2 linked regions of the Drosophila melanogaster genome follow. Changing the gene in region 2 together with the main gene of any one other region gives a genetic interaction. Each region holds a gene or a part of one and is shown on either strand. Other genes may lie near its edges.

What was found.
Region 1: of Nepl5 (region 2) and Trf2, changing one suppresses a phenotype caused by changing the other (phenotypic suppression), as found in Drosophila melanogaster (one study listed by BioGRID).

The regions. Positions count from the first base shown.
Region 1 is NC_004354.4:8,402,749-8,418,905, reverse strand, and holds the start of Trf2 (TATA box binding protein-related factor 2), read right to left. Parts: upstream 9,635-16,157; 5' UTR 9,542-9,634; exon of another isoform or gene 9,154-9,541; coding exon of another isoform or gene 8,932-9,153; exon of another isoform or gene 8,625-8,931; 5' UTR 8,217-8,624; exon of another isoform or gene 7,248-8,216; intron 556-7,247; exon of another isoform or gene 480-555; intron 1-479. Other genes in the region: lawc (leg arista wing complex), read left to right, coding at 8,932-9,153; PIG-T (phosphatidylinositol glycan anchor biosynthesis class T), read left to right, coding at 11,937-12,111, 12,320-14,046.
Region 2 is NT_033779.5:6,372,553-6,388,453, reverse strand, and holds Nepl5 (Neprilysin-like 5), read right to left. Parts: upstream 7,189-15,901; 5' UTR 7,157-7,188; coding exon 5,102-7,156; 3' UTR 5,035-5,101; downstream 1-5,034. Other genes in the region: Nepl6 (Neprilysin-like 6), read left to right, coding at 2,942-4,909; DIP-epsilon (Dpr-interacting protein epsilon), read left to right, coding at 2,207-2,365, 2,423-2,551, 2,620-2,770, 7,664-7,806, 9,174-9,344, 9,427-9,614; slam (slow as molasses), read right to left, coding at 11,290-13,080, 13,147-14,877.

The sequences.
Region 1 (16,157 bases), on a different chromosome or scaffold from region 2:
GTTGGAAAACTTGCGATAATTTCAAATCCTTCGTTGGTTTTTGTTTTATAAAAAAAAAACTTGAATAATTAAGACAACCATTGTTCATTTAACATAGGTATGCTTAGAAAATTTCGGATGTTATCTGTAACAATTTTCGTACTGCTAATTTAGCAGTCACGTTTCCCAATTACAGCATCTACTTTAGCAGACTTCAACTTTGGGTGCACATGGTAACCGAATAAGTCATGCAAGAAAAACCAGTTAGGGAAATAGAAGAGAGGGGCTGGCTTTTTTTTTATTTTTTTTTTCACGAGAGCCGACCGGCTTTGGGGCTTCGTCATCAATTCTTCGCATTACTCAGAGAAAAACTTTTTGCACGTGTTTCGCCGTTTGAGTGGTTAGCAGACGCGATTAACCAGTTAACATTCGCGATTAACATTGCACTTGACATTGGTATCATTTTTATCGATAGCGATTGATCGCTTTGGATTACTCACCTTAATTATTTGAATGATTTTTTCTTTTTTTTGTTTTCTAGCTTGTCGTAGACGCTGGTAATCGCGACCACAGAGCCTGCAACGAAAAGAGGCGAACGCTGTTTAGTGGGTGTGGCAAAAAATCAGGAAAATAAAACTTAACAATGCTAAGCAAAACAGCTGGTCAAAGACAAAGGCACAGAAAATAGGCAAGAAAACAAAAGGAGAATAGGCAGGGGTGAAAAATTTGTTCCAGGTGTGCTGAAGATACAAATTAACATTTGCATTTGTGTACCACTTGCCTGCGCACTTTGGGTCACGGTATTAGCACCACTAACACAAGTTTTCGATCAAAAGCGAATTTATGTTCAAATAAATTCGTTTTCTTTTTTTAATTAATTAATTTGTATTCTTTTTTATGCACTGTTTTTTTTTTTTGCTCCGTATAGCTCAACCGATTTGGTGCAACTGATTTTTTTCACCTGACTTGTCAGGCTTCAAATGAAGTGTCATTTATTAGGACTGACAGAAAAATCAAAGGCAACTTGATGGGCATCTTAAATTTTTCGAAATTTTGCGTCATTTTGATAATGGGGAAGTTTTTGTCTAGAATTTCGTATCATAACCGGGTTTCTTCCATGGTCTGTTGCACTATTGTTGTGACCGCTGCTGTTCTTTGTATCTAAAAACCAGAGGGGAGCTACAAAATGGTTTCGCAACTGCCTAGGATGTTATAGTAGCATTGATTATGAATTTTTTTTTGCTAAATACCTTGCATTTGAGGGTTAAAAAACTGAAAATGTCTATGAAATTTGCAACAACTAGGGACTGATTTTTAAAAATTCAATTTTTATTTTTAGTGGGTGGCAAAAAATAAGGGAAAAAAACTTAACAATGCTAAAAAAACAGCTGGTCATAGACAAAGACACAGCAAATACGCAAGGAAGCAAAAGGAGAATAAAAAAATGTGTTCCAGGTGTGCTAAAGATACAAATTAACATTTACATGTGTGTACAACTTGCCTGCGCACTCTGGGTCACGGTATTAGCACCGCTAACACAAGTTTTCGATCAAAAGAAAATTAATTTTCAAATAAATTTGTGTTCTTTTTTGAAGGTTTTTTTTTTTTTTTTTTTTTTTTTTTTTTTTTTTTTTTTTGGTTTTTTGCTTCGTAATATGCTCAACCGATTTAGTTCAACTGATTTTGTTCAACTGACTTGACAGGTTCCAAATGGAAATGTCAATGTAAGGACTTACAGAAAAGTCAAAGGCAACTTGATGGGCATTATTAAATTTTTGAAATTTTGACCTGGAATTTCTTTCTTTTTGCTAATGGGAAAATCAGATTTTGGCTAGACTTTCGCATCATAACCGGTTTTCTTCCATGGTCTGTTGCACTACTATTGTGACCGCTGTTGTTCTTTGTATCTAAAAAACCAGAGGGGAGCACAAAATGGGTTGACAATTGCCTGGGACAGCGAAACAGAAACATTCATATCCAAAAACCAAGACCCGGAGAGCGGAAATGCTGCGTGCACGAGAAATCAACGAGCTCTACAAAAATCCCATTACCAAGATAGATAAACAAACACCCCATGTATGTATGTATGTATGTATATATGCATGTATATACACCCATCACGAATCTATATGTACATTTATATGCTTAACTGCATGAATACATAATTTGTTCACTGCACTTAGTCGACAGCGTATGACTCAATATGATAAACAAAAAATAAGAATATTATAACAATTTCTAGAGAGTACGTGCCAGTGTTGAAAACGACATGCTCCATATTAGATATTCAAGAATGTCCCATGGAGAAAAGGGCAATAACAGTAAATATAAAAGACAACCCCGAAATCGTTGGACGCCCCTAAGTCATTGAACTGGTATATTCTTTTTTGCCAAGTGCCTAACCTTCTCCCCTTTTCTTTTAAACGCTCCTCCTTTGCACAAAAGCGAAGAAGAGACGCCAAGAAGAAGAAAGCAAAGAAGCAGACAAGCAACAAAAACCAAGTCGATGACATGTCCTACACAAAAAAAAAAGACTAGCCACTATGGGATTGCAGACGGAGTCAGCTGGCGATTTGTTATTATTTACCGTTATTTCGTGAGGGCAAACGGGGGGTAGCAAACTGGAGAATCGCTGAGAAGAGAGCAACTTCAAGGCCCCCAGACAAGGGTAATGAATTGTAATTCCTAAATACCCTACATTTTCGGGTATAACTTAAGACTGGTCTATGTAAACTCTAAGGCACTGAATATACAGTGATTTTGTTCAACTGACAAATGAAAATGTCATTATTAGGACTTACAGAAAAGTTAAAGGCAACATTTATTGAATTTTTAGGAATTGTATTCATCAAAAGGAGAATAAAAAAATATTTTCTAGGTGTGCTGAAAATACAAATTAACATTTCCATGTGTGTACAACTTGCCTGCTCACTCTGGGTCACGATATTAGCACCACTAACACAAGTTTTCGATAAAAAAAATCTTTTTTTAATAACTTGTGTTCTTCTTTTATTTTATTTTTTTGTTTTTTTATGCACTGCTTTTTTGCTCCGTATAGCTCAATCGATTTAGTTCAACTGATTTTTTTCACCTGACTTGTCAGGCTTCAAATGAAGTGTCATTTATTAGGACTGAAAGAAAAGTTAAAGGCAACTTGATTGGCATTTTAGAATTTTTGGAAATTTTGGTCATTTTGCTAATGGGAAATTTTTGGGTAGACTTTCGTATCATAACCAGGTTTCTTCCATGGACTCTTGCACTATTGTTGTGACCGCTACTGTTCTTTGTATTTAAAAACCAGAGGGAAGCTACAACATGGGTTTACAATTGACTGGGACAGCGAAATAGAACCATCCACATCCATATTAGCACATAACCATATAACACCATATTAGCATATAATAAAAACCCCAATTAAATTATAGAGTATTTGGAAGTTGTCACACATTATAAAGGCAACACCAAAAGCAGGATAATGAAATCAATACACTCAACGGGTGAGGGGGGATCAAGCGAAAAGTTCGGGGAGTTAGTTGGGGGATTTCGTGGCTGTCTGGCGAGACAGGATAAAAAGTCAGACGGAAAGGAAATTAGCTTTTATCGCTGACCTTGCTGCTACTGTTCGTTGTTCGTGAAAAGCGAAGTATATGTACATATGTATGTACGTACAAAGATACATTGGTATGTGTAAATATATGAGCAGATATTTATAAATACGTAGTGGCATTGCTGTTGGCATAAACCATGTGCTAATTGATTGCGTTTTGCCTAAACTGCTAACTCGCTGTAACCACAATGCGTGTGTTTGACCAACAACTAATAAAAAATATAGTACATATGTATGTATGTACATATGTACGTATTCATGTGCATACATTCGTATGTACGAACTTATAAAATTGAGCTCCTTGGCAATGAGTTCAACCGTAAAACACTGTCTCAAGAACAGCAATATTTGTAATAGGACATTATGAAAAACATTATAAACCACTGTGACTGCGATTTGAGTGCCTCCTTGTAATTTTATTTTCATTGTGCTTCATTTAAAAATACAAATACAACTTTTTGCGTGTTAATCAATTAAAGCAATATACATACATATGTACATACAGACACATACATACATATGTGTACATTTACATACATTTATAGCTTTAGGCTGGGTTGTAGTTTTTTATTGGCTGACGTCAGAGAAGTGATAAAATACTTAGCAAAATTTAATGGTTAATCCTTCAGTGCTTACGCATTACACTTTGGGAAAAAGGGGGTCAAGCTGAATAAAAGGCATGTGGATGACACACTTATTTCTCTCTCTGTCCAAGATTTCGATTCTCTTTTGCGCTGGTGTTCTGCCGTGGAAGAAGACGCCACAAAGAAAGCGACCACAGCGAAGGCGCAAAAAATTTACAGTTATGCGGAGGAAAGTAAAAGTCGAAATCAATGAATTTGTATTGTTTGTTTTGAAATGTATGCGAAATGAGTAAAAAAAAATCATTGAGAAGAAAACAAAACGAAAAAAGCCGAAACAAGGTTGTTTTTGTACGTCAAAAATTCGCTTGCTTACATTATTGAATATGTACGAAAACATAGATATAGATACACATATACATATGTACATATTCATATGTTTGCAAATTTGATAGTTCCAGACTTTAAACTAATATTTTTTACAACAGCCATCCCGCTCACACAAGCAAGTTAAATTTACCGTTGCTCATTTTCATCTTAGTTCTTATTTTTTCTGCTCATTTTAATTGCCCACTAAAAAGAAGCAATAATAACAACAGGTTGATGAAGATGAGAAACGAAAGAAGTGACAAAAAAAGGCAAGAGAGGGAAAAAGAAAGAGAGTGGAAGTCGAGAGCAGAGAGAAACAGCATTGAAATATTTCCAGCCCAAAATAAACAAATGGTTTGAATTCGAAATCAATTATCAAGCAGAAAAATTGGTAGTGGCTTATCGCCTTATCACAATTACTTTAAAGTCATTTGTTTTTCTAACTCAGACCTTCCCCCTTTTACCGCCATCCAGCGAGTATGGAAAGAAAGAAACCAATGAAATACAGTGGAATTTCGCAGTTAATGTACATACATGCATGTACACACACATACATACATACATATAAATTAAAGTACTCCGTGGTTTGTTTATAGTTTTTATTTGCAATCTCTGCTGATTTTCCCCCTTATATTCTTTTTTCATGCTCCATTTAAAAAAGAATACATATTTGCATTTATTGCAATCACTGCCAATTATTAACTGCTTATGCTCGTTTTCCAGCAGAAACCAACAAACACAAGCAAAGTGAGCACAACAAGTTCATCTAATGACGTCATGTCGCTTTAATGTAAAAATGTCAGGCACTTGAAACAATTTTGTTTCTGTGCCGACGCTTTTCCGACGACTGCCAGCGAACTGGGTCAATATCTTAATTAATTTTAATGGGCTTAATTTAAAGGCAAAGGAAGCGAGCACTAACAAAGTTACATCAATCATTTGCGTATTTCAATCGGTCGGAAAATGGGGGGAACAAAAGGGGTTAAGCCAATGCTTTTTGTTCTACTTTTGGAAAATGCGACCGCAGAGAAGGAAAAGTCGCACTTACTTTTAATATTACAAACCAAAAGAGTAGCCAGACCAGTAAATAATGAAACAAACATTAACAATTACTAGGATGAGCTTGATTCTTAAAATTCGTAATACAATAACGGCAATCTCTTTGGTTTATAGTGTGTATGTACATGTATGTACATACATATGTAAATGCGTAATGTTTACATATTATGGCAGGTGTTTACTTTTCTTAATGAGGGATAACGGAATCGGAATCTCTGGGTCGCCGCACATTCTACAGATAATTAAATAAAAAGGGCGTGAAACCAAAACAAGGCTTAGAAATACTACAAGCTGATACAGATACACCCAACCAGCACACACACATACACTAGAATTTAGCGATAACAACAAAATGCGGGCAACTTATTTATGCAGAAACAGTGAGAAAGAGCGAGAGGAGGGAGAGCATGAGATGATCAAGCCGGAAGTAAGGTTTTAAGAAAGAAGAGGAGTGTAACAGATTCATTTAACAGTAACAACAACAGCGATCGCTTACAGGTAGGGCATATGAAAGGTAGACAAACGAGAGACAGAAGAGCAAGGGTGGAAGGGAGAACTGCAAACTGCGATTTATTTAGGGATGTCTCTGTGTGCGCGCACTCATATGCACGTGCATTTGCATGTGTATTTGTGCCAGTCTGACCTCGTTGGCAAACTAAAAAAAATAATATTAAAGAGCATGAAAAAGTGTGGAACATGGCAGAGCGAATGAAGGCGGAAAAAAAGCCGCACCTAAAAAATCTATTACATCACTAGGGAAAATTGACACAAGTATTAGACATTTACATACACGCACACACAGAACCGTAAGCGTTTAAAGCGCACAAGTGTGTGCGTGAGTAAGCATGCTGAAAACGGAAGCGAATTGAGCATTGAAAAATACACTCATTTTGACCCCTTAAACATGTGAAATCCAATCAAAAGAGATAAGATAGTGGGGAAACAACATTATATGAACGACCACCAATGAAGGCTAAATACAGAGGTGGTCAAAAATACTTCAATACTGTAAATACTTTTGACCACCTCTGTATTTCAGCTAGTCATTGTATAATAGAATATGTTGAAAATGAGAAATATTCATTGATTTGTCTAAAATGTACGAAAGTGGCAAAAATCACATACATAAGTACTTGTTACTTTGAAAACAATATTTCTCCTATAGTTAACAGCGTATACCTGAAAGAAACCCTACAAAAAATATGATAAAATGCTTAAAAACCCACTCAATTTAACATTTGTGGGGGAAAACTTAAGCTATGCCGCAACAAAACCATAACTTGCGGAAACTACAAGTGCAAAAATGTACAAATATCGAGTAAAAACTGCCTAAAACCCCTCGTAAAATGATAAAATATCCAAACTAAATGAAATTTACGAACGAAGAGCAACATAAAAAATACAATCTAAGCCCATGGGCGACTACAACTACAACTGCTAGAAACTTCTTTTCAAAGGAAAGAAAAATCATTGAAATTATTCCCCGAAAACGAGAGCGAGACGGAGAGCGGCCGGCGACAAAGCGACAAGTGAGCGTGAGGCGAATTCAAGAGCCCAATACTCGCTCACACTCGCTTGGTTAACTTGGCGTGGGGACGTCGACGTCGGCAGCGTAGCGAAGTTTGTTGAAATTTTGAATGTGTGACAACGCGGTTCAGTCTGCCGCCAGCGCGGCCCGAAGCAGTGGTCTGTTACAAAAGTATATTACGATTTGCTGGCGAACACTCATCCACTGACTAACTCTCCCCCTCACCCTTTCGCCTTGTGGCTCTGGCTGCCCTGCCGCTGTTAGCGCTTTCATGTTAACGCACACTGTTAGATGGCGAATTCGATGCGAAAGGATAAAGATTTGCCGCTGGGGCAGCGAAAAAGAGAGAAAAAACACAGTGGGCAAGTGGTGCACTTTCCATAGAAGAGTGTTCCAATGTGCCCATTGTAAACCAACGATACTTTCTTACTATGACTTGTTCCACACAGCTCTGGGCCAAGAAAAGTAACTAGGAGCAAAAGAAGCAGCCCCGCGTGATGTCAGACGTCAGCCCGCCCACAAAACACACTCGAAAGGATTGAAAAATGCAGACATTTTTGTTTGGTTTTTAGCAACTCTCTTTTTTTTTTTTTGTTAATGTTTATTGGTTTCTTTTACGCACCGCTGAAATGTTAATAACAGCCCTCGTTACTGTTAAATGTTCACACTCTCTCTCTCTCATTTATTTCTTTGTGGTTTCAATGAAAGTGAGCTACAAAGCTGCAAATCGAAATTCGTAATGATTTTGAATTGATTGGACTTTTTGGACGAGAATTAGGAAAGGCGTTTGATTCTTAGTGGGGTGAACAAAGAAATATACAACTGAATAAAATATATATGAAATTTATGGAAAACGAGTTATGAAATGAGAGCGAGAGCTAGAGGAAGTGTGCGAGGGAGAGAGAGAGCAAGTTACATTATTTGCTTTGGCATTTCTTGGTACGTACGATTCGTACGATTTTCACTTAAAACTAGACTAGGCGTACAAGATGTGTTAACTATAGATACCACAAAATACAACTAAAACGAAATTCGAAGGGGGTAAAGAAAGAAAAATCAAAAGGTAAAAAGAATGAAATGAAAAAATTATCACCTTTTTTTGTGTAGTAGGTCGTCGTCTAGCTCTCCCTCCCTCTCACGATCTCTTTTGTGGCTGTGTTGCTGTCGCTGCCGCTACTCGCTCTCCCGCCTGCTCTCACTCTATATCGCTGCTGCGCTGTCTCTCTATTTATCTCTCTTTCTATCCCGTTGCCTTGCAGCGGAGCTCTGCTGCCGTCTCGCTTGCACTTGGGCTCCGCTGCTTTGCTTCAGCCGCTGAATTCGCAGTTAAGTTTTCGCTGCTCTCTGTGTCTCTTTCTGCTGCTGCTTTTGTGGTTCTTATGTTTTTGTTTTCGATTCGGATTGTAGAATCTTTTGGATTTTGCACACTTTTGGTTGATATTTCTTTAGGTTTCTCTTTGTTTTTTTTTTTTTTGGCTTGTGATCTTTTTTAGTTAAAACTCTAAACTGAGACAGGGGAGGAAAACAATGAGGGTTCGTCTAAATTTGGAGCAAGCAAGTCACACACAGCCAGGCGCGGCGGCGAATTCGGGCATATCGACTCGAGTTGCGGCGAGAGCGAACGCGGCGAACAACGGACAACACTGTGGCATTGGCAATGGCAGCGCTTGTCGCCCGCCTTCACTTCAGTGTGTGAGTCGCGATAAACGCGAGCGAAACGGGCGGCGCAACTGAAATCGCGTACCGACTGGCGCAGACACGCACACCACCGCACAACAGCGCGTATACGTATACGGGCGAGAGAGCGCATGCTCTCCGCCACACACACGCGGTCAACGTTTTCTCCGCTTTGTGGCGCCGCGCAAGTTTTGTCGCAGCAGCAAACACGCAATAAAAGTTCAAAAACAGTTGAAGTATACCGCGACGCGAGTAAAAATCTTTCCTTCGACGTCGTCTCTGTTCGTTGTAGTAGTTGTTGTTGCTGCTGTTGTTCTTGTTGCTGCTACTGCCGCTGCTTAACGTTTCTATAGTGTGTTCCGTTCCGCGAATTCTCATGTGCATTTATGAAGATATACATATATATATATATACATATATCTGCATATATGACTGACCAAAAGGTAAAACAACGGCAACAAATAAAAACAGTATACAAATTGTTGTCAAATATAGTGATAAAAAGAACCCCCACCCGCGGTAGTTCGATCGCTGTTTTGTTTAAATTAATCTGCATATCATGTTGTGCGGCGGCTGCATTTCATTTATTTTTTGCTCGCTGAAGAAGAACTTGCTTGCTCCAAAAGAATTAACAAAAAAAAATATATCTGCGTTTCGGCGCTGCGTCGACGGCATTGTTATTTCGTTCGTATTGTTGTTAAGTGTGAGTAGTAGTAGTAGTTGTTGTTGTTGTTTCGCTACCAGAGCTGAATAATGTAGTTGACCAAAAATTTTGAGAGCACAAGTCTGAGCACACACGATACGTCTTCTTCGTTTGGCCGTTTCACTTTGAGCAGCGTGACCGTGGTGCGTCGCTATAATATGCCCCGCGAGCCGTGTGCGTATGCACTAACGCGTGCGGTAGAATGCCGCGAAAAAATACTAAAAAAAAATCCAAACCGAATACCATGTGGTGGAAACGGACTCGCGCGTTGCATTTGCTGCACTTTCCCGTTTAAATATATTTACCCGTTTGATTATAAGATAAGGGTTACATTTTGTGCAAATATACGCTTGCCAATGTTTTTGAAAAGTAATATAAACAATTTTATGGTGCGCAGACAGCAGAAAAAATATGCTGCAAAAATACCAACTTGCTGGCTATCAGAGACTCGAACCTTCTAGTGCAAATCAGCTGTGATCGATGTTTTTTTCCATTAAATTGGCACGTTTATTTAAAATTGTTTATGCATTTAGTTTAGGTACATGAATGTTACATGGGACTTTTACAGAGTGGCTAAAACATATATACATACAATATATACATATACAACAATTTGAATTGCAGATTCTCCACCGCTCTGGATATGCGAACAAAGTCCTTAGCTGCAGCGACATTAGTTTAAATTTCAAGCCGGCTATCGCATGGTGATTCCACCTGCACGTGCAAAGCGCGACTGTGGATATCGCAGGACGAGAGTCGCGTCTTCTCCTGCGAGGAGCAACTGCATCATAATCATAGCCACAGATTGAAAAGACCGAAAGCAGATGCAAGCTCAACGACAGGACTAAGAATCGGAAGCAAAACTTCCCCAAAGCAATGGCACAGTAAGTAGACAAGTGCTGCGCTTTCAAGAAGATGAGCACTTTAATCAAAACCATTTCGAAATTCTTGTTTAGATACACCCGGAAACGCAAAAGAAAGAAATTTAAAGAGCTGAAAGCCCCGTGGACTTCATGTAAGCTGCTTACAATAAGCTGCCTTTTTAGATGCACTAAAAAAAAACTACTTTTGCTTATAGGAACCCAGGTGCAACAAATAATTTCAAGGAGAAGATGTTTTTGTGGTCAAAAACGTGCAGATGACTTCTAAGAAGTTGGAAAATCATGTATTTACTCGGAAAGAAGCCAGAACTGAAGTAGCATACTTATTAGTATTATCAAATGATGAGTTTTTTCATCATAGTTTTAGTTCTATATTTATAGAAAAAAAAAACTTTCCTTGTTACTTTTAGTTTTTTCATTTGAAAGACTGCCGTTGACTTTTTCATTTTATTCGCGTGCATATTAAATATGTGTGTTAAATATACATAATAATAAATGATCGCTGTGTTTATGCACTTGCTTTGTTTTCACTCTTTATTTATTTATATTTATTCTTTTTGATTAACTATAGATTGTTTTAAAAAGGTATAAACGACGTTTAAAATTTTTATCCTGGACATAAACCAATGATTAAGCGGTGTTCCACACCCATGAGTATTATGTAGTATTTTTCACAGTATATACGGTATATAAAACGGTCAGCCAGAAAACGGTCTGTCTAATCGTTAATTTCTATGTTAATAAAATTTGAGTATTAAAATACATCGAAAGTGCAGTTTTTTTTTGTCCACTTTTTCCTTTATTTCTAACTTTTCACTAAGAATTCCAATAAATTGTTTTATCTTTCTCTCGATTCCCTATTCCTTCTTTCGCTGTCCGAGCATTATTTGTTATACCTTATTCGCGTTTTCTCTTTGGGTGTACGCCAAATTTTTGGCGGGCTCACGATTCCGTAAGATTGCAGCTACTTTATTTCGCTTTTTCCTTTATTACTCACTTTTGATGATGCTCGATTTTGGCGCGCTTTCTCATTTATGGTGCTTTAGTTGTAAGCCCAACTCGTGGATGTGGTGGATTTTTTGCTTTGGTACAAATTCTTTTTAACAGACTTCTCAGCGATAACGCATTTGACAATTATATTTTGAATCAAATGCACGTTACAAACAATAACATGTGTGACCAATGTAACGTTATCGATAACGTATCCCACAAGTTATACAACACTGCTAGGCAGCACTTTCCAGCCCTGGAAAAATACCAAGACATCTACCATCTCTCTAAAAACGAAAACATCAAAGATTTACTACACCAAATTAAAATAAACTTATAAATCTTTGCAACCTTAAGTCCGTGGCAATTTCCATTTTGCATTTCCATATCCGGCTGGCCAAATAATTCCACGACATTTACGGATGTCGCGGTAACCTAAACACAAAAAAAATAAATAAATATAAATAAAATAAAATAAAATACATTAAAACGGATCATCAGCTGTCGTTAGAACCGAAACGGACTAAGGGCGGAGGAACTGGCACTGAACCTATGGGCCAGCATGTATCCGGTGGCGTTTGTCTTGCTGCTGCTGGTTGCACCTAATGCCGACGCGAATTTGGGACGCGATGACGAACGATTCCACGAGGAGCTAGTGGTTCGTCCATTGTCCGGCGACCATGTCAACACCTACTTTCAGTTCACCACGCGCTGGCACTACGGCGAAAAGGATAATCGTGAGTTTTTTCAGCGGCCGAAGTCCGCATCATTGCGATTGCAAAAATGGGGCGGGAATCTCACCCACCGGCATACGAAAATACAGGCCATTGCATGCCGAAAGGTGTTCCTACATATATGTATACATATGCGCCCCATTGAAGCATCATTAGAACTTCTGGTTAACCGATTAAATGCTTATATTGTGTCTACCATTTGCTCTTTCAGTTTACCACACCCAATTGACGCCTCGAGTAATTGCGGAGCTGTTGCAGCAGTTTGCGGTAAAGGAGCTGCACATTGGCCTAACCCAGGGACTGTGGCGCTACGAGACATGGGGCTATCCCATTGTGGAGGCCACCAGCGGTGCCGAGATGTGGGCGTGGTTCAGTGGCGCAAATTTGACCAACCGGGATGTGGATCGCCAGTGGAAGGAGTTGGCCAACGTTTTCTCGGGCGTGTTGTGCGCCTCGTTGAATTTCGTCGACAATACGAATAGCATTGCACCGAGGCACTTGATTCGTCCACAATTTATGCCAGCCAATGGCCAAAGATTCGTTCGCTATGCCACATTGCCGCGTGAGATCGTGTGCACGGAGAATCTGACGCCGTGGAAGAAACTACTGCCATGCGGTAGTGCCTCAGGCTTTGCCTCACTTCTCAACTCGGGACATGTACACAACACCAAATACCATTCGCTGGGCCTGAAGGTGCGCGTGCTCTGCGAGGATCACGATGAGGACAATTGCATTGTGGAGCTGACGCAGACGGCCAACTTGGTCTACGATCTCCGTCTGTTCGAATTGAGCAACAATGATTTCTCGCTGCGCCGCCTGTTCGGCATGGGACTGAATGGCTATTGTGAGCTGGCCGAGAGCTCCAAGATCTATGTGCAGCGCAACGAGCTGGGCGAGCGCTATCAGCTGGTTCCAGAACCCGTGCACGAAGTGAAGACCACTCGTGGTGGGCATAGTGTCGTCTATTCCGTCTACGATATGCACGAGCAGTTCAAAGAGGCCGGCGAACGGCTGTTTAATGTCGCCTGGCTGGCGCCGAAGAGCGCAAATCGTCGTCGCAATTTGGCGAAGCCATCACTGCCACCGGTGACGGTTCATCGTTATCTATTGGGACACGGCCAGGAGCGTGGCAGGATCGTTACGGAGGTGACGAACTCGCACTACGACGCCCTGCCCATAATGCTGCAGGAGGTGATACCGTGGTATGTGCACGCCTATTTGCACACCCTTTCCATACGTCGCAAGCCGCAGCGGGTCAACGAATACGGAGGCCAGCGATTGACCTTCAAGCTGCTCCACTATACGCCCGGCAAGCAGAGGGAACTGCCGTCCCATTTGGAAATTGGCTTCATGCTGCCCGGCCAGACATCGGCGCTGATAAGCATCGATGTGGATTATTTGCTGCTCAAATGGTTGGAGTATCCGCCGGATGCGAATCACGGCCATTACATCGGCTCGGCCATTGTGTCCAGCCAACTGCCGATGGGCAGAAACTATACCGCTCTGCCGCCGGAGGGGCATCTCTTTGAGCATTCGTTCAATGCCACACGTCCGAGTTATGTTCTCAGTTTGCACACGGAAGCGCTGATTGTCTCACTGCCCACGCCGGACTTTAGCATGCCGTACAATGTGATCTGTCTCGCATGCACAGTGGTTGCCCTGGCCTTTGGACCCATACACAGTGTGGCCACCAAGATGATCATTGTCGGTCGTCAGACATCGGCGCCGAAGAATTTTGTTAAGAAGATCTTCAATCAGCTTTTCCGGCGCGGCAAGGCCACCGATGAGACAGCTGCCGAGGGCGAAGGATTGCCAGCGGCAGGAGCAGCAGCAACTGGAGTTGCATCGGGGAGAGCAGCGATATCGCCAGGCAGTCCATCGGGCGACCAGCCGCTGCTGGAAGATCTCGACGAGGAGGAGGAGGAGGAGCAGGACTAGGAGGTGATACAAAAAAACAGCCATCGGGAGTCGTGATAAGCTCCCACTGATAGTATACCCTTACAATTCCAATAAAGTATATTCACAAGGATACCAAACTGGGTTGCAATTCTCGATTTTTAAGTTATTTCAATTTATTTCGGGGGTTTTCAAAAACAGTATTTTCAGTTATTTTGCTAAGAAAAATCAAAGAAATCGCCATGGGATTTCTATATATATTGTAGATGAAATATGTATAAACAATGTAAGAATGAGAATTGCAAAGTATACTTTTAGCTTTTTAGAAAGCTAACCAAATTTGTAACGAAATAAACAAAGTGAAAATGCACGTTTTGTTTTTATAACTTTTTCGATTTTGTTTTTATTTTGCATTTCGAAAATAGAAATTTCTAAATGCTATTTGATAAACATATATCAAAATGTCTCGATGTGAATGCTGAAATAATCGGTATATGGAATCAGATTATATCAGATCGGATTAGAGCAGCGCAGAAATAGCCAGACTCTTAATTAGAGCGAGAAAGATTCTATGTGCCTAGTGGAACTTTTGGAAATACGTAACGATTTCAGTTTCAATTTTTTTTTTTGTTTTTTACCTTGCTAGCGAGTTGCGTTAAATGTTGTCCAAATTTTTTAGCTCTTAGATTTAGATTTTAACTAATCTTACATAATTTTGCATATTTAATAAATAATTTAGATATCAATTTGAAACTCTCTAAAGTGCAAGCAAATAATTGTAATAATCGTTAACAGCACTTACATAAAGTATTTCATTTTAAATTTCAATTATAGTTAAAATTAATCTTGTTTTAGGATTATTGGCATTTATATGTATCTGCGTTGGCATAGAGAGTGTTCACTGTACACTGCTCGTCCTCCGTTTGCTCAAAATTTCCAATGCATTCGCCTTTTTGTTTAACTTTAAATTTAAGATTTATTCATGATTTGCGCTTGCTATTTATAGTTTTTAGTTTAACTTTAAATAGTAAATGTAAGCTTATCGTATAAATATATATTGGCTTTTACAAATTACAATCTTTCGCTGCAAAAAAAATAAACTTTTGGAAGAAATCGGGAAAATGGATACCGAGGATAATTAAATGTAAAATTGCTACACAAAAAAAAATGCACAAACATTAAAATAACAGACTAAAACAGACAGACAAAAAGACAAACGCAAAAATACAAAATACACATATATATAGTTAAAATATTTAGGTCATTAATTTAGGGTTTAAAACACGCACTATTATTCTGCTGCTCCATCGTCCTCTTCCCTACACTTAAGTATATTAATATATGTATATGTATAAATCGTTTAGAATAATCGTTTTCAAAGGGGAGCGGAACCTACTTAAAAGAGAGAATTAATAATATATAAATATATATATGTATAATAGGATGGATCGATTGCTATGGATTGATTGGATATTCCCAGAAATGGGCGGCGTAATCCATAAGCAATTACAAGCAAAAAAAACTGGGGTAATTCTTTGAAGACCCATCATGTATTTGATATAGCTATAGAATCCATATAGACTACACCAGCCCATTGCCCATGCAAGTGATTCGTCACTAAGCTCAAAACTTGAGCAATCCCGAGTAATCGATCCATCCATTTTGTTTTGCATTTTTTGGGCCTAGGACACGATTTCTTGTTCGCTTGCGCATCTTAATCAGCTTACTTAGTTCTAGATCGCTTCTTCACTACGTGTTTGCTTTCCATTCTTTTGTTCTAGTTCTACGCTTTCCGGTTCATTTTCTCGCCTGCTACTTGCTTCTGCTATTTATCACCGAATTTAAAAAAAAACTGCCTGCAACTTTCGTACAGTTCAGTTCGAAATTCGAGGAATTCGCTGCTTGAATGTGGGAATCCTGAATTTCCATCTCGTCTTCATTTCTCATTCGTCGTTCTTTTCGCCTACTTTAAGTCTTATGCTTACTCGTCCGTCTTCTATCCGTAATCCTACTACTTATAATCCATCTTCATCTACCGCGTCTTCCACACACTTAGCTCTAATCGTAGTCCTCTCCTCCGCCTTCATGCTCATGCTCCTCCATGCTGCTGTGCCGATACAATTCTTAATCATATGCCTAGTGTAACGCAATCT
Region 2 (15,901 bases):
CCAAATTACCGCACATTGCGAAAGTAGCAGCAAATGCAGCTTGTAACCGAAGCAAAATAACAAACACCAACAATTACGAGCTGGACGGGAATGGGCACGAGGATGTGGATGTGGATACGGGGTGTTCTTTGCGCGTCTGCCGCATACATATATTCTCATTTATGTTCACATAATGAGGCCATTTATTAAATTCAATTATTTTGTTGACATCGGTGCGGTACGAAAGCAATATTACAATGTGCTAAGGTAACAAATAACAGAAATAGCCGCTAAACTGGGAGCCACAAAATAGGCAACAGTATCCAATGGACATTACCTTAACCTGGTCATAAGCTACTGTATAGAACTGTCAAAATTTATATTAAATTTAAACTGAAAAGTACTGAAAATAAAACAAGATACTAAATATTAAAAAACGGCAAATTAAAATGAATTATTCTTGTCTAATGCCATTATCGTTTTAAGCTAGCAAAAAAAGATAAATAACTAAAAACTTTCCAAACACATCAATTAAAAAGTTTATAAGGATTTTGCAGCGCATGATGGTCTTGCTAAGCGAAGTGCTAAGCCAAAAACACCAATTGACGCATTATGTAATAAGCGATAGAAATTCGTGTCCAGCACTTGCACCACTAATTAAATTTCACATGCACATATGTATGTCGAGAAAGAAAGTTTCTTGGTTTAGGGTCCAAAGTTTGCGCAATGTCGGCAGCTGCTAAAAATATCAATAAGAAACTAATATGTCAAAAGCAAAGGGAACAACATCTGCTGGGTCACCAAGTTGGGCCACCACTTTTTTTTTTCATCCTGGTGCTGTCCTGGATCTGTCCTGGTTTGTCCGGCGATTAGCACATCAAGCGTTTATTAATAGCATGAAATAAAGCTTTGGCAAAAAGTTTTTTGGTCATTATTGGGCATGAGAAAAGAAAAGGTAAAAGGGCGAAACTTTTGAAAAGTTTTTTCTTTTAATTACGCTTTTTTCCCCCTACGGTTACCATAGTGCTCGGATGGGAAAAGTTGAAACAGGGGTTTTTCCTTATGAAAGGCAACTTTCTACGACGACAAGATAACCTGGCCATTAATGTTAATCCCCACGATGCAATGATACGCGAACAATATATGTATATATATATTTATAGCCCCGTGGCCTCCAGTTCCATCAATTAAAAACGTGTGCCGAAAACCAGACATTTGCTGACCCGACTGCCATTGATTAGCTGTCCAATTCAGAATGAATGGCGACAGGTCACTGCAAATACGTGACCTGTCATGGAAGACCTGGCCTTGACCCCCGGAAAATTGCAGGAGCAAATAAAATTTATGATTTTTTGTTGGAATGGAAAACTGCATTTCAGGCAACTTTAGAAATTTATAAAAAAAAACAACTGTCAAAGCTAACAAATGTACACAACTAACACAGCTCCAACTACCAACTCCAAGTTCTGGTAAACACTCCATTTAAATAAGATACATTTGAAAAAGAATGGTAATTTATCGCAGCTAACTTCGGGTTGGAACCAGTGTGCATTGCCAGATATTAAGCCAGTGCGGTATGCTGTCCATTCCATGACCTTTTCCATGCTTCCCTGTGATTTGCATAGATTTTTCATTAAAGATTTTCTGGGATTTTCGACCAAATACAAAAGAGTTTCCCGGAAGATTGAAAAAATCCCTCAAACAAAGTGAATGGCAAGGGAAGTGAAACCTGATGACAACTTGATGAAGGTTGCCGCATCGATTTTTGAATTAACAGAATGATTCCTTATTTCGCCAGGAGCAACGGATTTCAAACGGACTTCAAATCTGAATCTGGATGCAAAGCTAATTAGGCTTAAAGTTACGCAGTGACTGTGAGTAGAACAAGAACTCACTGGGGAGTGAGCGCATTGGAGTCAACAATGCGTGAAATGTTCCTTTTTTTTCCACTTCCTAACTGCCTTGGGGAAGTCCAACTTGTCTGGGGGTAGCTTTGATAAGCCAGTTATTAGCATTACAAGTGCTTCTCTTTGAAAGGGTATTCCCATGTCTCTGTAGTCCTAGGAGTGTTTTTCACCGGTTTCCGCTTTCTTGGCAACGACATTTACATGAAAGTGGAACTTTTCACTTCTGTCCTTTGCATTTAAATCGAGCTTTGCACGGTTCCGTGTAGTTTTTGGGTAAAATACTCTCCTAATGTCCGCCTCTCGCTCTCTCCATCCAATAGTGCCGCCGAATATAGACGACGCTCTGACCTCCAGTGACATCATCGTGCGCGAGGGCGATAACGTTACGCTACGCTGCAAGGCGAAAGGTAGTCCGGAGCCGACCATCAAATGGAAACGCGATGACGGCAACAAAATCGTTATTAACAAGACGCTCGAGGGTGAGTCCAATCCTTAGACCAGCCTCTGGCTTGCCATTTACCCAGAAATGATTGCAGTGCACGACTTGGAGACGGATTCCCTGGAGCTGGAGCGGATTTCGCGACTGCACATGGGCGCCTACCTGTGCATCGCATCGAATGGTGTGCCGCCAAGTGTGTCCAAGCGGATCAAAGTCAGCGTGGACTGTAAGTCAATTGATATCCGGACTTAGTTGGGTTTTCTTATATTCATATATATATATATTTCGTTTCAGTTTCGCCCATGGTCTGGATACCGCATCAGCTGGTGGGTATTCCCATTGGATTCAACATCACCCTGGAATGCTTCATCGAGGCGAATCCGACCTCACTTAACTATTGGACGCGCGAAAACGATCAAATGATCACTGAGTCATCAAAGTACAAGTAAGTTGAAGTCATCGTGCTATTGTCTTTTCACCTCTCGATTGAGGATGTTTTGGGTTATCTCTTGGCTGGATTATCAGCTGTGGGCACATTATATTTCGCTGATATGTCGACGTTCCGCGGCCAGTCGCTTCCAGCAATCTGGGATCTCGGCTCAGTTTGCTGTCTGCGATGTGGTTGATTGCCTGCCTGTTTATTGTTCCTATTTGCGCTGCTCCAACAACCCAGAATGTCGAGGCGGATCCCAATTCACGGCTAATGAACAACATCCTCAGCTACGTGGCGGAGGATTCCAGTGCGTGCGGCACCTACTTTCAATATGCCTGCGGCAAGTACGCAGTACGTCACCGCGACGATCCCTTCACGGAGATCATCCAGATGCTGGACCACAAGGTGAACGGAAACCTAGTCCAACTGATGCACGAGCTGCACCAGCGCTCCCAGTCACCCGGCTTCAACGAGTCCAGTGTGGAGGCCAAGGTCTTGCACTTCTACCGCACCTGCCGTGAAGCTCCGCCGAGTACACGCAAGATGGAGCACTACCTTAGACTAGCCCCTCCTGGCCAGGCACTTACATGGCCCCAGTTTATGCCCCGCGGCGAGCCATGGCCAAAGGCTCAATTCAAGTGGATGAAGTCCTTGGGACACCTATACCGCTATGGGTTTACCAATGTTTTGGTGAACGTGTTGGTCTTACGGAGCTCTGAGAACAGTAACCGCTTCCGACTGGACATCAGTATGCCTAGTCTCGAAGGGGACGCGCAGCACCTGGGCGGTTTTCTAAGTACCCTCGCCACTCTCCAGATCATTGGTGTGCCGACGAAAAGCATATTACCCCTTGTGCGGAAGATCAGAAGGCTAGAGTCCGCCATACGCGTCCTAACCGAAGTGGACGACGATGATGAAAGCGAGACTTGGACTTTGCGCCAGTGGGAGTACAAAACCGGCTACGCATGGCAGGGTTTCGTCGAGTCAATAGTTGGCCATAGTGTCTCACATCACTACGTGATGCAGGCGCAGAATGCAAAGTACTTCACGGGCCTTAAGCGGCTGATGGACTCCACGGACGCCGAGGTGGTGGCCAACTACATCATGACCCGATTCGTGCTCTACCTCATAGACGACTTTATTGACAGCAATGAGCACATTGATTGCGTCACGGATATGCGCCGCAACATGAATCTGGCATCGAACCTGCTCTACAAGGAGCGCTTCCTGGACCCTGCGACACTACAGCAGTACACCCAGGAAGTTACGAAGGTCTTTGAACAGCTGCGCCGGCAGTTTCTACTGCAAATCAATGAGAATCGCCTTGGGCTAACCAGTGAGCAGAACAGTATGGTTGCCACAAAAGCTCAGCATGTCGTTCTCAATATTGGGAATTTGCCAAGAGGTCGTGACCATCGTAGCTTTGTCAGCCGGCACTATGAGGATCTTGTCTTTCCGCTCCCTGATTTCGACTACGCACGTGAACATCTTAACCTGCTGGAGTTCCGCACCAGAAAGCAGGTTTTACAACTTAACCAAAGTGCTCCGACACCCGATGAGTTCTTCTACTTGTCGGATCCTAAAACGGCCATGAGCTCCGGACCCTACTACCTAATGCGACTAAACATCATCGTTGTGCCACACGGACTTCTACAGGAGCCATTCTTTGCAGCGGATAGCCACGACATATTCAAGTACAGCCTGTTGGGATTCGTACTTGCCCATGAGTTGATGCACTCAGTCGACACCGTGGGTCTTTATTATGACAGATATGGGAACATACACGAAATCGGACCGCAGATATCCAGTTCGCCACGCTTTGTGGCGGGTTTACAGTGCCTGAACCGGAACAGTACACAGTATCTGGACGAGCGTATTGCAGACATTGCTGGACTGGATCTGGCCTATTCCACCTACTTCCAGAACAGCTCGCAAATGAGTCTAACCGATTTTACGACCATTCCGCCGCAACAAATCTTCTTCCTCAATCTGGCACAGTTCTTCTGCGGCGATGGTGATCCAATAAACTTCGTTGGTCACGACAACGACGAGACGCGTCTGCAGCAAATGCTCAATGGGTTCGCGCCGTTTCACGAAGCTTTTGGTTGTCCAGCAAAGAGCAATCAGCCTGAAAAGTGCCAACTGTGGTAACTGGATTCAAGTAGTGCTTGAAATCTACTAGTGTATAAAACTATATTAAACAATAAACTAGATGGATCTGAAAAGAGTTCACTACCCCATCGAGTTACTCACTCACATTTAAAAAACTCTTCGTTAGGTGAGATTTTATTTATTCATCACTGGATCCTGCCATGTCCTGTGGGAGAGATGGAAAGAGAACTATTACCAGATGCGGCACCGCTGGCTGGCCTGCATCTTGGCCTTCTTATCGCACCCGAACTCCCTAGAGAACTCTTCAAAATTGGCCAGCGTCTGCATCACACGCAACTCATCCGCGGCGTGCTTCAAATGAGCCTCCGACTGAGATCGCGGACTGAGCACGGGCGTCCGGCCGCAAAAGAACTGGGCGAAGGTGATGAAGAATAGCTGCCGCTGGCTGAACTGCGGCAGCAGAGGATCCCTGGGCTCCCGCTTGTCCCGCACCCCGAAAAAGGTCTCATACGCTAGACGCAGAGCCACAAAGTCGGCCAGCTTTTCGTCGATCCACTTGGAACCGGTGGCCATCTGTTGCTGAAGACACTGGAGTCCTTGTCGGAACTGACGGCTAGCGCCGATCTCCTCCACGGGCCCCATGATGTTTCCCATGGCGTCGTAGTCCATTCCCAACATATCGAATCCGTGTGCCAGCTCGTGGGCCAGGACAAATCCCATCACGGCGTGCTGCTGCAGGGCGCTAATGTTTCGATGCCAGATGGGCAGCTGGAGCAGACCGTGCGGCACCAGGACCAGATTGCGTGGTCTCACATACAGGGGCGACGAGTTGCTGGCCTCCCAGCTTTCCGACAGGTAACTCAAGTTGCTCCCCGTGGAATTTGCGAAGTTTGTCACATTTATGTAAAGCAGATCGTGGTTCGCCTCAACGCGTTGTCGCAGCAAGACCAGCTGGTTGCCATAGAAGGAGTGGCCGCTCAGGTCGATGCGGACGTGGTACTGCTCCACATCCTCAATTTCCTCCGTCTGAAAGAAGCCCATCTGCAGTCGAACTGCGCGCAGTTTCTGCTGCAGGATGTGCACCAGTGGTGGCGATAGTCTCATTCGGTTCTCAGCCAAGATTTGGCCAAATCGCACCTTCAAACGCTGGAACAGTGAGCTTACGTAGGATTCGGATTCCGGATCGGAGAACTGCTGACCCACCAGCCAGCTACTGGCCAGAGGCATGGCTCTTCTGAGGGCGGCCACGCACTCACCTCGTGAGATGTCCGCGGGTCCCTGTTGCTTGAGGAAGGCCAACCACTTGAGCATGATGTAGCTGCAAACGGTGTCCGGGCTCTCCGATTCCATCAGATCGCTCAGGGCCCTGAGGTACGGAATATTCTCGATGATTAATGTGGAGCGCAGATCCAGCTCGGAGTCAATGCGTACCTGGCGCATGAAGGATAACCATCGTAGCTGTGGCAGGTACGAGTCCAAGTAACCAAGCTGCATTTCTCGTGGTCCTTCGTCGTCCTCCAGCTCCTGCAGGCGGTGCAATTTTCGTTCGAAGTCGTCCACCTGGCGAGCCAAGGCATTGGCCGTTCGCTTTGTCTGCCCAATGTCCAGAAGCAGCTCGATCATGGCACCTTCTCCCATGGGCTGCGTCTCCTGGCGACTCGGCTTGTTCACATAGATACTGTAGTTGCGAGAGTCATCCCATCGCGGCAGTACCTCCTCCCGCAGCAGCACCCCGTTCAGTCCGTGCAGACGCAGTCGCCCCAAGGTCGTTATCCAGTCGAACCGCTCCGGACGCCAGCCCCGACCCACCGATGGCCACTGCGTGGAGTTGCTGGGGGGCAGGAGCTGCAGGTACTTCTTGAGGTTGTACGGCTTAAGGCGTTTGCACGAACGGTAGTAGAGTCGCATCTGCTCCAGAATCGAGGAGTCCGACTCGAAGGAGCTCTCATTCCTTCGCCGCAGCAGCAGCTCCAGCTTCCGATTCACGGAGTGGTCTATCAGTCCCAGGGTGTCGGTGGGCAGCATCTGACCCTGGTACCGCTGCCGATCCCTCGTCCAATCTCTGTCGCGCAGGGAGTGCTGCTCCTGCTGCTGGATCTGCCAGTTGCCGCAGGCGTACTGGTAGAAGTTCTCGCAGGGACGCGCCTTCGTATCCATGTAGCTTTGCAGCTGCTCGGCCAGCATTTCCTGAACGCTCTGGGGTGCGTTGGTCTGGCGACAGGCGGTGGGCGTGGTGCGCCAAGCCAGCGAAAATATGAGCCAGGCCACTAGGCTTAGCTTCAGCATGATGGTTTCGACTGTGACAAATTGCAACTGGCCGGACTACGATTTGCCCGGATCGCGGAGACTGCGGACTAGAGCAGGCCCATCGCCTGTCAGTCATCATCGTGGGAGGAGCAGTGGATCCTAGCTATATATACACACCCAGTACTTGACCACTTGACCTTTCTATTTTCAGGCAAAGGTGATAATTAACAAAAATGCTTTAATAGGTTCAAAGTTCGAAGAACATGATCCTAGAACGTACTTTATACCCCATTTGGTGGCATATTCTTCAAAGCATTAAACACTCGTAAGATATTATAATATTTGACTTTAAATTGGATCTTCAGTACCTGGAGCCACTGTACTTTGTAGGCTAGGTCGCATTTTGATTAGACATAAGTGCGCGCTTATCAGTTTCACCTTGGCCTTGATACCCGATTGTGGGCTGTTGTGGAACTGACCCACAATGAGCACAATGGCTGTCATTGAACTTGCCTCACGCTGATGCCTCCGTCTCTCCACTTTCAGAACCGAAACCATTCCCGGCCATCCGTCGTACAAGGCGACCATGCGGCTCACGATTACCAACGTTCAGAGCAGCGATTATGGCAACTACAAGTGCGTCGCCAAAAATCCTCGGGGCGACATGGACGGCAACATAAAGCTGTACAGTAAGTGACTAGGCTATATGTGTTATTTATACCCTTTGATATTGCGCCACTGTCATAGGCAAATGTATATGTACACCCCTTTTTAAATGGGCGCCAGTATTTTGGGGGGTCTTTAAACTTGAAACTCCGACAGTTCCTTGATTCCAAAGGAAGCAGATTGTACTGTTCATTTTATCAGGATTTTTGGTGCCCAAATACTTTTTAATATACAGCAAGATTAGATTTTGATATTTAATAAGGAAATGACGCGTTTAATTTGTCTCACCGACGTTTTTCTTCATATCCTTGCCGCCGTCAACGGGGCGTATGCGCAATCCTCACAACCGGCAATTAGAGCCACTGTAGTGTCAATAAAGTGTCAATATTGTGTCAATTTGCTAAATTACTCCCCAGTCACTGTTTGGGCCATTAAAGCTCAGCTCGGCAGCAGCGATTCCGATTACAAAAGTTCATAAAACAAAATAAAATGCCCGCTTGTTGGTGGTGAGGTTGTGAGGTGGTGACAAGAGCCCAACGCCACCAAGAATGGCGAATGTGAAAAGACAACTTAATTTATATATACACGGTTTTCATTCTGCTGCCACAACAATGGCCTGTGTAGCCCATCGAAAAGTGGGCGTCATTCTACCAATTAAAGGTAACAATGGCCGCATCGATAATAGAAGGGGCAGCTCCGACAATGAGAACAATGAACCTGTGACAATTTTATTGAGTGGTCAGGAGGCGATACAGTCGCAGAAAGGCGACATCAACCAGGCATTGGAGTGGGCTATAGTTTCGTGATTCCCAGCCGAGGCAAGGCCAAGTGTCAAGCCCAATAAATTTCCTCTACAAATTGTCTTCAATAATGCCAACGGAGGGCAGCCAGCCGAGAAAAGGAACCGAGAGTTGTTAATCCTCCCCGGGGAGATGGCCAAGAAATTGAAAAGAATCGGGGGGGAAGGGCGGGCAAAAGGGATTGCACTGAATTTACGATGGCTGATAAGTGAAGACAATGCGGCTGGGTAACCGAAAATATCTGTTTAGAAATCGAGCAAAGGAGTTTCGGCACTGATGGGGCGCACATTTTTGGGGCAGGACTGGCTTATAACTCACAGTTAATTTAAGTTGTTTATGGATTGTTTCCGATTGAGCAATCCACTTTTGTTCGGTACCGTTTTTTGGCGCAGACATCACGCTCTTACCCCTTATTTTAATTACTACACTGACAGAAAGTAGATAAAATAATGCAAAAAAAATGTATAAAAGAAAAAGGATTCATTTCTGACATGTAGCGTTACACTTCCTTTAAAGTTCCACTTTGCGATAGCTTCTATTTATTGAATTATTTCTACCACTCATGTACGCCAATATTTCTCTACGTGTAGTGTCGAGTCCGCCGACAACACAACCGCCGCCCACAACCACAACGCTGCGGCGGACGACAACAACCGCGGCGGAAATCGCACTGGACGGCTACATCAACACGCCCCTGAATGGCAATGGCATTGGCATTGTGGGCGAAGGACCCACAAATTCGGTGATTGCGTCCGGCAAATGTGAGTAGTGCCCAAAAAATGCATAGGATGTTGATGTTGGCAGAACAAATGAACACGTTGCACTTTTCATTATCAATTGCAGCGAGCATTAAATACCTATCGAATCTGAACGAGATCGACAAGTCGAAGCAGAAGCTGACGGGCAGCAGTCCCAAGGGATTCGATTGGTCCAAGGGCAAGAGCAGCGGGAGTCATGGCAACCTAATGGCGTCCAGTTGGCCCCTCATCTGCTGCATCCTCGCACTGCTGACGACACACTCGTGTGGTTGAGAACTATGTGCGATTCCATTTTAATAAAGTGCCATTACAAACAGTCGAAATGAAAGGTGTTCGAAGCCGATGCATACGATTAGCCATAACAACTGTGTAATTAATTAAGCGAATTGCAATTTGCAAACGTTAACGAAGTCAAGCTTTGGTTTTCCCCGAAACTCCCTATGCAGCCCATTAATATTTGATTACGTTTGGTGGCGAAAACCACAGCGTGTTTTTAGGCAAACAAAGTTACCAAATTAATCAACCTCGCATATTTGTTTACCATTCGTTCGGAAGCACTCTAAAATATTTTCTAAAAATTCGTTTGGTTTTAAAACCACTATACCATCGGTGAGGGTATGCGAAGAATGTTGTAAAAAGCATTTCGGCAGGGCCAAAGCAAACATGCGATGCAAACCAAAGCACATAAATCCTGGTTAGTTAGATATAAAATCAATTAATTTGCATAAATACAAGTGGGAAAAAATAGTATACCCTTCGAATGATGCCAAATTGTTAAAAAGAGAGCACTACTCACTCACCTCCAACTGTAAATAAGCGCGTATATGCATGGATAAAACCCCAAATGCAATTGTAAATTATGTACTCGTTATAGGCACTAGAAATGAATGTTCATTTGTACGAGAGTAGGCATCAAACCATTTCAAAACTAGATATTTAACGGGAAAGCGAAAGGCTTAAATACTCTGAAAAACAGGCACCTAAAATGCATTAATCAAAAACCATTAACCTAAATAAGTAACTAAGCAAATATGAATTACGAATATTCACGATTGAAGCGAAAACTGTTGATACATAATTTAGTTAGCTGATCAGTTAAGACGGGTTTACAGTTGAGAAATAATCCAAATAAAGCCAAATCCAAATATGTAAGTTCTAAACTACTCATACAGAAATACATATATATATATATATTTAAATACCTACATATATCATAGGCCTTAGTTTGTGTTTCTTAACGATAAGAGTGATAATGTATATTTATTAACTTGCTCCCCGAGCGGAACAAACTGGCACTGCGAAAGAAACAAATAAAATATCTATGTATTTGGGATTGCTTCTTAAAACTTAAGCGACTTTTATTTCAGTAATCTGTGGTTCTTGATATTGACCAGTGGTACTTGTGCAAAAATATAACTATTATTTTTTATTTGAAAGTCAAAAGAATGTCGACGGGACTTTTATTTTATGTTGAACAAGTAACCATTTATTGCATTAATAGTTAGTACTTTTCTCTGATACCATGTTTGCGCAGCACTTTTGCACGTGAAATTGTTATTGAACCGAACCCAGCAACTCCTTTTGGCCCCAAACGGATTCCCTTGGCCACTGGATGTGCACTAACATGGTATCCTTGGCCAGGAATGTCTGAAGTTGATGCAACAGGAGCATTTGCTTGATGAGAGCAAGAAAAAGAAACCATGTGCTTGCAGGAAACGTGATGCTTGCCAGACTCCTACGTGTCTGCAGGATAGCAAGGAGCTATGCCCTCCAGAACCCCTGATTTTGTTGGACTCTGCATGCCCAAGGAAATACACTGAATGGCTTTAACTTTTCTCTTTAAAGTTTATTATCTAAAATCTTTGTAACATTATATGTTAATGTCTAGGAACTAATTGTTTATAAAATCTTAAAATAAAGTCAGATCCCGATGAGGTAGCACCATCGCTCAGACCTCCACGGCCCTCCGGTCCATCAGGGTGTCGAGAATCTTGTCCATGTGCTCGCTGCAGTTGGCCAGGCACACATCCGCATACTCGCTGAGGAAGTACATGAAGCTCTCGAGCTGCTCCATCGAGCAGCCGCGGAAGCCATCGTCGCGTCCAATGTTGTCAATGGCCCGGATGATGGAGCGCAGCTTGTGGACATATTGCGGCGTGTTGCGGCAGTGCTCCAGCGAAGAGTCGGCCAGATTCGCGGGCTTGGCGTAGCCACGAATGCGCTGCTCCACACTGCGAAGTTTGGACTGCTGCTGCTTGAGGGTCTGCATCATTTGCGGCACGGACATGGCGGGTGTGGCGGCAGAGGGAGGAGCCTTGGCAAACAGCTCGTCCAGGGGAACCGCCTCGTAGTCCAGGGAGAAGAGATCAGGCGAAAAGGACAGCCTACCACTGTTGTTGCCGAAGCTATCGGACTCGAACTCCGTCTGATCCAGGTCGCTGGTCTTGATCGCCTGGTTGGCACTGATGCTGCTGTTGGGCCAGGAGTACTTGCTGCGACCCTCCAGGCCATTGCTGGCACCTGTCTGCAGACCCACCAGTATGCTGTAGCTGCTCTCGATGGAATACTTCTGGGTGGTGGGCCAGAACTCAGGCACGCTGCTGAACTCAATGTGGTCAACGCCGAAGCGCAACTCCGACTGCTCTCCGCTGAGGAAGGCAAACAGCCGCTCGATCTTCTCGCTGGACATCAGTTTTCCGCTGAAGGGCACTGCGAGATCTCCGCTGGCGAACCAATAGTGAGAGCAGCCCTTCACACTGGGTGGACGCTCGGGCAGCGACTGTCGGACGGAGTCGGAACTGGGAGCTCCGCGAATGAACTTGTGTCCGTCGATTCCGAAGGCCAGGTCACGAGTCTCCCAGCTTTTCTGGGTGAAGATTTCGTACAGCAGTCGCAGGCGCTCCGGGCTGTTCTTGAAGATTTCCAGGGAGACTGTGAAGTCCCCAGAGGTGATCCAGAACATTGAGTGCGCCTTGCCGGTCGGACTCTCATCCTGGGAGTTATCAATTTCAACAGTCGGGGCATTGGCGAAGAACTCCCGCTCACTGCACGGTGTGGAGGGTGAGCTGGAGGTGGCGTCCAGATCGAGCGGATGATCCTCCCGGATCACTTGCATGGCCAGGGAACTGCGACGAGGGCGCTCCTGGATGAGAATCGGACTGAACAGTTGTTGTTGCGCCGGACTGGAAGCATGGCGTCCCTTAACTGGCGTGGAAAAACCGGATGGCTTCGATTCCGTGGCTCCAAGCGAAGATCGGCGTATCGGACTGTTGTCCATCGGATCGTTCGAGCATGTCTCAAAGCCCTGATCCACGAAACTGTCCCGCATGGCCTGTACCAGGGATTGCCTTGGTGTCTGACTAGGAGACTGATCGCTGTCTGCATTCGGCGAGGGAGATGACATCACGGTGAGGGTGTATGCCGACTTGATCTTCCGGGGCGAGTTCAAGTGGCGCATCAGTGACTTATCCAACTCAATGAAACTTGGCTCGGGCATTGGAAGTGGGTTACAGATAGCACCGGACTTCTTCTTGGCCGCTCCTGATAGCGGAGGCTTGTAATCTGAATCGGAGTCCGTTGAGGTTATTGCAGTGGCCTCGACAATGGAGTTCTCCTTTTTCCATGTAAGAGTTCGGCGCATTTTCTTCTTGCGTGGCGGACGCTGGGGCTTGGCAAAATCAAATTCACCTGTCTGCAAGTCATCCTTGGGCGTCTCTGGCTGGGATTCGTCGCTGGTTATCTGTGATAGAAAATTAAGAACAATGAGTCAACATTCATGAATCCACTTATTAAAGATATCACTTACCTTGGGGAGTGTAGACAACCCGGATTCACTTTCCTCAGCCTCGGATTGCTTGCAGCTGGATGCACTGGAGGTAACTTGACTTAGACTGGGTCGTGGGGCTGGCACTGGCGGCGCCTGGCGCTTAATGCGTCGCGGAGTGACTTGAACGATGGGATCCTGAGCTGTATCCATCTCCTTCTTTTCCTCGACTTGTGTCTCCTTCTTGGACTCGTTATCTAGCTCTAATTTTGCGATGGCCTCCTCCAGAAGCCGCTCGACGGCGGACTTTTGGCTCACATCCTCCAGAGTAGCGGTGCTCGGCTCAAGTAGCGGTTGCTCCAGAAGATTACCCTCCTCGGTGGCTATCTCAATGGTCTGCTGACCGTCAGACACACTCGTAATGTCGAACTGGACACCGTTCTCCGAGCTGAGCCAGCTGTAGAACAGGGTTTCGAGGTGTTCGTTCTGAAAAAACATTTGGCTATCCGCACCGGTGCGCTCCTGTCGAGTGCGTCGGATTTTCTTTGGTGGCGCATAGGCCTCCGTTGGCATCATGGTGCGAATCGCGGCGAGGTTTCGCTTCTGGGATGGCTCTCGGGCATGTTCATCGCTCTGACGATCCAGGCATCGGCGGGGTCGTGGCTGTGGAGCTCTGCGCTCTGGACTTGGCTTGAGGATCACAGTCAGGGTGCTCACATGCAGCTGGGAGGTGCATGTCTCCGTTTTGCTCTCAGTCGTCTTGGGGGGAGAGACACCACCTGGTCGCGGTGGCGATCCCGGCTCCAGGATACATTTCGCTTCCAACTCCTGGGCGAGATGCTTAACACTGGCTTGTCGTTCAGCCACCACCTCCCCTCGTGCCACCTGTTTGTTTACCTTCTCCTTGAGATCTGCGGCATGTGCAGTGAACTTGGGGTGCTTGGCTGCCATGTCACCGATGAACTTGTTGAACAGCAGGGCTTTGTCCTTCACGCTCAACTCGCGGAAAACTTCCTCGGCCACCAGGCAGGGTCCTTGAACTGGGGACTCTAATGGCGACACCAGGCGGTTCTGTGCCTTAACCTCCGGCGACATCTCATTTTGCAGCTGAACATACTGTGGTTCCTCTGTACGTCGCATCACCTGGCTGATCTTGGAGTTAAACAGCTGGGCCATCTCCTTGACCTTCATGGGCAGCGACGCGGATACCTTTCTGGAAGCCTGATATGCAGAGCGTGGCGTCTCCATCTCCGGCAGCTGTTCGTATTTCTGCTTGAGCTCGCTGATCTTTAGGTGGCCACTACCCACTTTTGGCTTGGGCGGCGTGACCGGATCCGACTGGAGGGCCAACTTGGCAATTGTGCTGGCCACTTTACCCGTGTTACCCGCTGCCTTGGTGGTACCCAGTGTCTTTGTTGGCGTCACAGGTACCTCTTCGTCGAAGTACTTCATCAGATTCTCGATGCTGGACAAGTCCAGGTCGGTAACCTGCACTCGGCGCGGTGATGCAAACGAGTTTTGGTACTCCAGGGCGGTCAGGAAGCGATCATCATCCAGCGAGGAAATCTCGAAGAGTTCCTCCCTGGTCATCGTAGCTCGGAGCAGGCCACAGGCGGTGCTGGCATCTCCGTGGCGGCTGGAGCGACGACGTTCCTCGATCTCCGCGTTCAGCTGCAGTAGCTCGCTGAGATCATCACTGTTCATGGCTGCCGTGTCCACTACCATCTGGTTGTGCTTGGACTGGTTGTTCGGCGTGGAATTGCTTAGGACCATTTTGGTATTAGTTTGCTGTCTTGTTGTTGACGTTAGACGTTTCAGTTTGTAACTGTGGCTTTCTGGCATTTTGCTAATAGCTTATATACAATGATCAGGTAAAATATGGATTGGGTGCAGATTTTATTGCCCACCCACTGCCTCAGATTTTCCTTAATCCAACTAGCAGCGATCAGGTAAGATTAACAGCCGCAGCTGTCGGATCGATGGATTTTCCTCGCGCTAACCGATATTTAATTATTTTCGCGAACCTTTCCGCTATAAATATATATCCAGGTGACCTGAAACAAAGAAAACAGGTAGGTAATATTAGGGCTGTGCAATAGATGTAAAATGTAAGGTTCTGGAAAGAAGGGATAACCGAGGATTCACTCGAAAGACAGCTGACGGAAAGTCCTTAAAATTTAAATTCCAATTATTGCAGTAACTCAGCGAAATCAACTCCCAGCATCATCATTATACTGCAACCGAACGAATTTTCCGAGAAAAATGCGAATGTTAACAAGACCCAGGCGAATTGCAGCCACAATAAAAATCACACACTGAAAATTCTTCATCTGACTATTGCTGAAATTTGGAGCGAAAACGAACCGAATTCAGGACCCCAGGGATAAGCAGAACTTTGCTTGCAGTTTGCCACAAAGTGACTTTCACACCGACAGAGCCATAAAATGAAATCAGGGGCTGAGATTTGCGGATGCTCAGGTGGCAGAGCTGGAGCTGATGAGTTACAGAGCTACAATGATAAGTTCCATAATGGGATACATCTTTTAACTGCCTGATATTTAACGATTTTATCTTTAATTTTTGGTTTTAATGCGCTTTTTTACTTTTAGCAAAACGGAGTGCCTATTTTTTTATCACAAAGCTGAAGTTGTTTACATGGGAAGGGTATACTTTCCAAATATTCCAAATTTTCAAGACAAAAGCGTTCTCTAACCCTTTTTTGGGCTTTCTAAAACAGGCCGGCTATTTATATAAATTAGTTAACTTACTTTGTTAAGGATTTCCTTGTTGAACTATG